Linked DNA regions of Tribolium castaneum. The protein of the gene in region 1 binds, or shares a complex with, the protein of each later gene. Links are inferred from orthologs where the notes say so. Each region holds a gene or a part of one and is shown on either strand. Other genes may lie near its edges.

What was found.
Region 2: eIF3j (region 1) and eIF3e share a complex: the UniProt entries of both Drosophila melanogaster proteins name them as parts of the eukaryotic translation initiation factor 3 (eIF-3) complex. The link is inferred for Tribolium castaneum from reciprocal best matches to the Drosophila melanogaster genes eIF3j and eIF3e.

The regions. Positions count from the first base shown.
Region 1 is NC_087396.1:21,286,927-21,290,618, reverse strand, and holds eIF3j (eukaryotic translation initiation factor 3 subunit J), read left to right. Parts: upstream 1-1,520; 5' UTR 1,521-1,835; coding exon 1,836-1,848; intron 1,849-1,908; coding exon 1,909-1,994; intron 1,995-2,039; coding exon 2,040-2,147; intron 2,148-2,193; coding exon 2,194-2,491; intron 2,492-2,543; coding exon 2,544-2,680; intron 2,681-2,724; coding exon 2,725-2,775; 3' UTR 2,776-3,019; downstream 3,020-3,692. Other genes in the region: Srp54 (probable splicing factor, arginine/serine-rich 7), read right to left, coding at 1-1,260. UniProt on the Drosophila melanogaster protein: Component of the eukaryotic translation initiation factor 3 (eIF-3) complex, which is involved in protein synthesis of a specialized repertoire of mRNAs and, together with other initiation factors, stimulates binding of mRNA and methionyl-tRNAi to the 40S ribosome.
Region 2 is NC_087394.1:22,552,529-22,556,836, reverse strand, and holds the start of eIF3e (eukaryotic translation initiation factor 3 subunit E), read right to left. Parts: upstream 3,105-4,308; 5' UTR 3,017-3,104; coding exon 2,927-3,016; intron 2,879-2,926; coding exon 2,600-2,878; intron 1-2,599. UniProt on the Drosophila melanogaster protein: Component of the eukaryotic translation initiation factor 3 (eIF-3) complex, which is involved in protein synthesis of a specialized repertoire of mRNAs and, together with other initiation factors, stimulates binding of mRNA and methionyl-tRNAi to the 40S ribosome.

The DNA.
Region 1 (3,692 bases):
CGATCTCGACACCTTCTTTTCCCCACCCTCTATACTACTCTCCTTCTTATCTTTCTCTTTCTTATCCCTTTCCTTCGACTTCCTATCCCTCTCCTTTGACTTGCGATCCTTATCCCGTTTCCTATCTTTCGACCTATCCCGAGTCTTAGATTTGGCCCTTGGCCTACTGCGACCCTTCGATTTCGACCTTGACCGGCGTTCGCGCGACCTTGAACGCCTCGTACGTGAAACCGAACGTTTCCGAGAGCGAGACTTCGAGCGTTTACGCCGGTCACGTGATCGTGAACGGCGTGAACGTGACGTTGAACGGCGACGACGTGAACGTGAACCACGCGAGAGTGACCTTGAGCGTGAGCGGCGTCTACGCCCTCTAGATCTTGAGCGGGAACGTCGCGAGCTCCTTTTATCTTTAGTTAGCATTCCGATAACTGGCTCAATCGAGGCATTGATCATGTTTTGAGCCTCTTTAAAGCGAGACATTGCTTCTTCAATTTCCTTCTGAGCGGCTTCGTTACTTTTGGCTTGGGGCTTCATGATTGGTTGAGTGGCGTGAATGATTTCCAGCGGCTTGCCTTTGAACTCTTCACCGTTCATTTTCATGGCGTTCACGACGCTTGGCTGTTCCGTGAATTCGATCAAAATGTGCGTGGTGTTGTCGTTGGGGCACTCACACACTCTCAAATACTTCACTTCACCGGCTTGTGAAAAATACTGGATTATCTCATCTGTGGGTATGGCGGGGTCAATATTGACCACTTGGACCGTTCGACGAGTCTCCTCGACTTTGATCGAGTCGTATTTGGCCGGCAAAGGGGGATAGGGGGCGCAGCCATTGTCAGTCAAATGGGGGTCATTTGTGACAACAACGCGTTCCTCGCCTGTGCCTTGGAACGAATTGGAGACATGTGGGGGCAACTTTGGCTCGTTTACGTTAAACCCGGGGACAATGGTCCCGTTACGGGTCATCTCCAGAGCGTAGTACTCGTCGGGGATGTCCCCGTTGATCACAGGGATGACAATTAGGGCCCGGTCGATGAAAACAGTGTTTGTCATGTGTTGGGCTACACCTACCGTGCTGGAATCCACGAATTTAACGTAACAAATCCGGGACTGGACAGGACAGGAGACGTCTCGAATCGTGGGGTACAGGCGAATGTCTTCGATTTTACCCAAGTAGCCGAACAGCGTCTGCATCTGGTCCTTGGTGGCCTGGGGGGCTATGTTGGTCACCTGGACCACCTTAGTGTTACCCACGACCATTTTCACGCACTATTTTAACATTTTCCAACGAGTTTAAAAAACGTAAAACGACGCACATTGACAAGTCAAATGACAGCAAGTGTCGCCAACTATTGTTCAATGATGAAAAACGCGGTGAAAAAGCAATTTATGGCCAATCGTCCTAATTAAAACTTTTTATGACTGTCCCAAAAGGATAATTTCAAATTATTTAAAATCTTTGGCGTTAAATAGCCTGTAAAACTTGCACTTTGGTTGTAATTTGGTGCCTTAATTGTGTGCCGGTTGGCAGGCGTAGTTGGTTTCTGTCAAGGGTGAGATGGGTGTTCGAGGGCTATTTTCGCTCGTGAATTGTTCAACTTCGCCTGATTTCGCTGACTTTTCATCTTGCAAGAGACATAAAAAGCCGAAACGTATTGTTTGATACATCTACAAATCGGTGTACTTGTGGAAGCTTCGAGAAAAGATAGTGTTTGGTTTGGTGACACTTTGACAGTGTCATCTGGCGGTTTCTGGTGCAGTTGCACGTTATTCAGCACACGTGAATTTCGAGGTTGAGGTCGTTTTGTGCTAATTTCGGCCGTATTTTCGCCAATATGGAATCGTGGGGTAAAAATTTAGTCAATTCTTTCACTACTTGAGCGAAAATTTGACATGGGGCTGTTTCAGACGACGATAACTTCGAACCTCCATCTGTTACACCTGTGGTTGCGTCCAACAAATGGGAAGGCGAGGACGAAGACGACAACGTCAAGGTAAAATGAGTGAATTCCTGCCAAAAATTTACCATTTTCCTGCAGGAAAGCTGGGAGGATGAGGAGGAGGAGAAGGTGGAAGCGGCGCCTGCCGAGGAGGCCAAACCCAAGCCCAAGAAGCAGTCAATCGCTGACAAAATCGCAGAGAAAGAAGTGGGTATCGCAATAGTTGTGACAAATCTAATTTCTCCTTATTCAGAGAAAGAGGAAGGAAGAAATGGAGCGGAGGCTGAGGGAGCAACAGGAGGAGGAAATCTCCCCGGAGGAGAAGCTCAGGATGCAGAAGGAATCGGACTTGAAAATAGCGCTAGAAACGACGTTTGGGGGCGACACCAATAGCACAAACATTTCAGGTTTAGACGGACTCACGCTGCCAACTACTAAAGAAGAGTTTCAGGACTTTACAGACGCTCTCTCTAAGAAGCTCCAACCTCTAGCTAAAAGCACAGAGTATCCGGTGTTCACCGAAAACTTACTACGAAATCTGTGTGCCACTTGTACGTCTCTCGTTTTAATTTAAAACAGCGTTAATGATGAATGTTCTTGCAGTGTCCTCATTAGATATTAAGAAAATTAAAAATACGTTAGATAATTTATACCTAGAGAAACAAAAAATCGAGAAAGGCGAGAAATCGAAGAAAAACAAAGGCAAAGGCAAGGCTAAATTACGACTGGATGATGGAAATGTAAGTTGTGGTTTTACAAGTGTTTGGGTTAATTTTTTTTGCAGCCTTTGTCAGCGTATGTTAACGACTATGACGATTACGACGACTTTATGTAGCAGATTGCAGCGGTTTAGATAGGGTTTTAATTTTTAAATAAATATCTTCGATAAATATAAATATTGTTAAATTATACGGTATTTTTAAAAAGGTGTAGTGTAATGATCATGCAATATGGTTAATAATTTTTACTTTTTTTTCACCGTTTTGTGTTTTTCTATACTAATGTAACGAGTCATTATTAATTAATGAGTTGCTGGTTTTTGTTGCTACTGATATAGAAGTTGTATTTTAAGGCGATTATTGTATGGATTTGCATACAAGTTGTATTCAATGGATTTGATGCAATTATTGTTAATATCAATATAATTTTTCAAAAAAATGATTGCGTTTTATTTAAAAAAGAATCAAGTGTCTTAGACACAGAGTTGCCACACGCACGCAATTTAAATCCCGTCTACGCCGTTCTGACGTGTAATTATTACACATTTATGCTGAAATTTATTATAGAACAAGTGGACCCCGCTTCTATAAACTTTTTGAGACCATAATCTATTTTAATGTTGAATATTTAAGTACCGTTGTTGGTATTCCTGTCCGAGTTTCATCACAATATTTGTTGTAAAAATGGCAAAATTGGTGCTTACCTCCACGATGACACTATGTAAACACTGATTCATTAGACTTTTCCCGATTTTAAACACTTTTTAAAACTAAACACAAACACCATGTTAACTTTTTTGTCATAAAAAGCAAGCGTCTTTAGACTCAGGGCTGCCACCATGCCACACACACTTGATTAGAATCCCGCCTTTGTAATTACTCGAAATTCCACTAAAATTAATTACACAACAAACAAAAACTGTCTTGGGACACATTTAACATGACTTTAGTCATTTAATACGGATTTAAAATATTTAGTGACAATCTTTTGGTGTTCTAGTTAGTGGCGTGGCAGCACTGTCGCTCCGAAAAT
Region 2 (4,308 bases), on another chromosome or scaffold:
CTTAACGTGATTTTTTCCCAAAATTTATCTTTTTTTGCTCGAATGCATTCGATCATCGATTTATGTATCAAAAGAATAATCAATCAATAAAGTGATGTTAATTATTGTTGATGTTAATGAAAATATGTATTTAATAAAATGTTCAAAAAATAATTTAATTTTTGTAATAAAATTTAAGGGCCAATTTCATAATCGGATTTAAAGGAGCATTCAACTAAAAGTTGTTTATAATGTGCTGGTTACTATGGATTTGTGGACATTTCACATTCTAAACATTTAATTTAATGCTCCTTTAAATTCGATTATAAAACTGGCCCTTAATTAATTAAAAAATAAAATAAATATTAATAAATAATACAATGTGTTTTTAAATAATTCTCATCTAGTCGTCTGTGAATTTCTACAGTAAAATCAGAAAATACCGCTTCATATAAATAATGATAGGCATTTAGACATCGAATATTACCATTCTCCATTTATTAAGGCTCCAAATATAAAGTAAGCTTAAAAAATAAAAGTGTTTTCTTGCACGGTATAATAATTTAGTTACATTTTAACGAAGTTTTTAAAACAAATTAAATGAATTTGCCAACTGACAGACTTTACATTTATTAACAGAGGATTCAATTGAGCAAAGCGGCACAATTTTTTACATGTAAACCAATTTCAAAGTTAACTGGATGAGAATCATTTAAAAACACATTGTATAAAATATTAAAATTTAATAAATCGAAATTTTGAGGTTAGCAACAATTTTATTAAGAATTTTTTGCTTAAAATATCATTCATTTAAAAGACACTATTGAAATTATAAAATTAATAATTAATTAATTACACGGAATAATATTTTCAATTTTATTAACATAATTTTTAGTAATTCATGTTTATTTAAGGAAATGTAAAAAAAAATAAAAAAAAATCTTTGAGAAAAAAATTAAGTATTTAATAGAAAACACTGATTTTTGTGTGACTAATTAATATGCCAACATTCTTTAATTGCTTTTAAGTTTTCATTAATTTTTGTTGCATTATAAGTGATAACAAATTCTGTAACTGACTGAACAATTTGCCCCGGAAATCACCGGAAGATCAAACCAGCTAACCCTTCTCGCATTAGCACAAATTTACGGAAAAAGCAGGATTATACCTTACTTGCCAACTGCGAAATTAAATTAAACAAAGAAGTTTACAGAATATTTCAATTACAATAAAATTTTTATTAGTGATTAACTTGACATTTGCCAATGCATTTTAAATGACAACTTAAACTCGAATTAGTCTAATTCGGAATTAAATTTTAATTTCGCTGTCTGTAGACCGACCCACAGTTTTTTTTTATTTTATTAATTAAATGGTAACAACTTCTAATACTAGTAGAATTAAATAATTTTTTTGAATATTAAATATTTTCGTAACATCAATAAAACTTCCTTGGCAGTTTATTGTTTTTTTATTTTTTTTAACAATTACTAATTCATTAATTGCATAAAATCGCAATCAAATTACATGATATTAAAACGCTGCAAAAGTTATTATTTCTTATGTTATTTTAGAACACCTGAAATACTTAAATGTTTTGTGCAAAAAGTTCGTAAAAATTTTTCTTAAGAATTTTTTGCTTATAGCATTATACGCCGTTGATCCAGAAAGACACTGCAGAATTAATTAAATTTCGATTAATCAAGTTTTTATATTTTGTATTTTATAAATACCTATTATTATTATTTGCTTAACTAATATCATATCAGAAAAATTAAAACATTATATTAAATATTTTCGTTAACATCAATAACACTTCCACGTCAGTTTATTGAGTGGCTAGCAAACAGCTCTGATTTAAATATCATTGAGTCTTTTTGGCACAAAGTAAAAAGGTATCCTACAAATCTTCCTCAATAGTTGTTGAAAGATTTAAAAAATAAAATAGAACATATTTGGAACAATAAAACGCCAGAATTTTGTAAGGGATTCGTTAAAAGTATGCCAGCGCTAAGTTGAGTCGTCATTGAAGCCAATAAAGATTGAAATTACAAAAAAATCTATCTTTTTTTTGTTCAAACAATTAATTGTCAAATATCATTCCTATTTTTCTTTGTTTTAATTTCATGTTAAATATAGTGTTTTAAAGTAGTGTTTAAGTAGGTCATAAGTTACAAATAAAGGTATTTCTTCAATTTATCCTTCTTTTTTTAAAATAAACATTCATTAGCTTGACGTGCATTTTCTTTGCAAAAATGTATTCGTCCAAACACACTATTCAGAAATGATTGTTCATTGCAAGTCACTTATGAAATTTGAACGTAATGTGCCACTTAATTTAAATTGTGAATGCCGTCAAAAGCGACAAAACCGTCAAATTAATGCAAAAAAACTTCAAATCTAAAAACGAAAGAGTACACAACAAATTTCACCGAGATGTAAAACACAAATGACGGCAAACCCCACACTTGAGAAATGCAAAAAAGTGAGTAAAAAGCTAAGATTTGACAGAGATGAGAGTATTCAAACACTACAATAATGATTTGAACGAAGCGGAACATTGTTTTTGACTTCCATAGTCGACTGGGTGAACAACCATTTTTGAACACATTGTATTTACTTTGTAATCCTTTGAAAGGAAATTAATCAAAGTTTTCGAATCCCTCATGTTTTCCATATTCTTCATGACCTCATCGTCGGCCATAATCTTCAAAATTGGTTGCACTTCCTGTTGAAGCTCCTGTAACTGAGCTACAACGTGTTGACGCCTTTGCTTCAGATCTTCAGGAACTTCTTCATTTGGATACAGCTGCTTTCGGATGTCAATAGCATAATCGATCATGTTGGTCTTGCTCAAAATATCTAATTTGGCTTTAAGCAATTCCGTTTCATCGTAAATCTACGAAATTCGGAATCAACCGAATGAACATAACCTCAAAAACTGTACCTCTTTAGCCGACAAAAATTCCAACAATGGAAACACCAAGTGCCGATCCAAATATTGCCCCATGCGGGAAGTTAAATCAAATTGGGCCATTTTATACCGTTTTTATGCAAAAACTAACAAGATTTTATAAAATGTGACACATATGGCGGCACCCTAGAATAACACTTTTATAGAAGCGGAACATAATGGTTGGCAATGAATTCCTAGCTGGAGCCATCTAGCCGCATCATCACGTACTAAAAATGGCGCGAATTAAATAATCCCGATTACTTTGTATTTTTTAAATTTTTGCTCACGTCAAAATGATGTCAAAACCTTATCAAATACAATTATTATGAAAATTTTCTAATTGTATTTGAAAAGGTGGATGCACAAACAGCACAAATAGAAGAATTTTACCCAACATGACACGATCTAAACACATTTAATATTAAAGATATTTATTAAATCCATTAAGTTTACAAAACTAATAGTCGTCACCGCATCGATGATAAAGACATACTTGCAATCAGCCAAACTGGCACCTTATGTTAGCAACTTCTGTCTATGGGAATCTCCTCACAGTGTGACTCACTTGCGGTTCGCTCTCAAAAAACTCACTTTTGGAAAAAACGCACCTATCAATGAAAACCTTCTGGAGCTCATTACTACGTTATATTCTTGGAGATCATGTTGTTCCTAACCGATAGTAGGCAATAGTCTAACCCAAACACGACACCTTGAACCACTATCTTAATAAAACTTTGAAAAATTAACGTGATATAAAAAATAAACTCAAATTTTGCTGACGTTTGTGAAATTTTTACTTGTCAGCCGCGCATCGGTACCACGTTTTTCTTCAGTAATATGAAATTTTAAATCCGCCAATAGGATTTCTTTTTCCCGTAAAACACTAAGGCCATCTATCCGCATCATCAGTAAATCCTATTTCAGTGAGCACAGCTTCCTTGATTAATGAAGGAACTTTCCCTTCACACGGCTGGCCGCATTGCTTAGTTCCATGGCATATTTTTGTTTCTGAGAGGGAGCCACTATAAAGTAAAACAATTCTGACAGTTCTAAGGTTAAGTGTTGTCACACTGCTGTCAGTGCAGAAGATTTCTAAGGCAAAACGCATTAGTATTAGCTGTATAGTTGTAGAAAACGTATTCTACAAACATTTGGCACGTGTTTTTACTGTGAGGAACCAAAAGCGCATGTTGCCATGTGAGTGACCAAGAGCCTATGCCAAGAGCGAACTGCGAAACACAAAACGAACGTAAAAAGCGTCATACAAACTTGAACATTTTGCCGAATGGTAAACAAACATTTTTATGCTCACGAAAATGATCAAAAGAGTGTTGGAACGCATTTGCAACCAACTGTACAAAATGTACCCATTA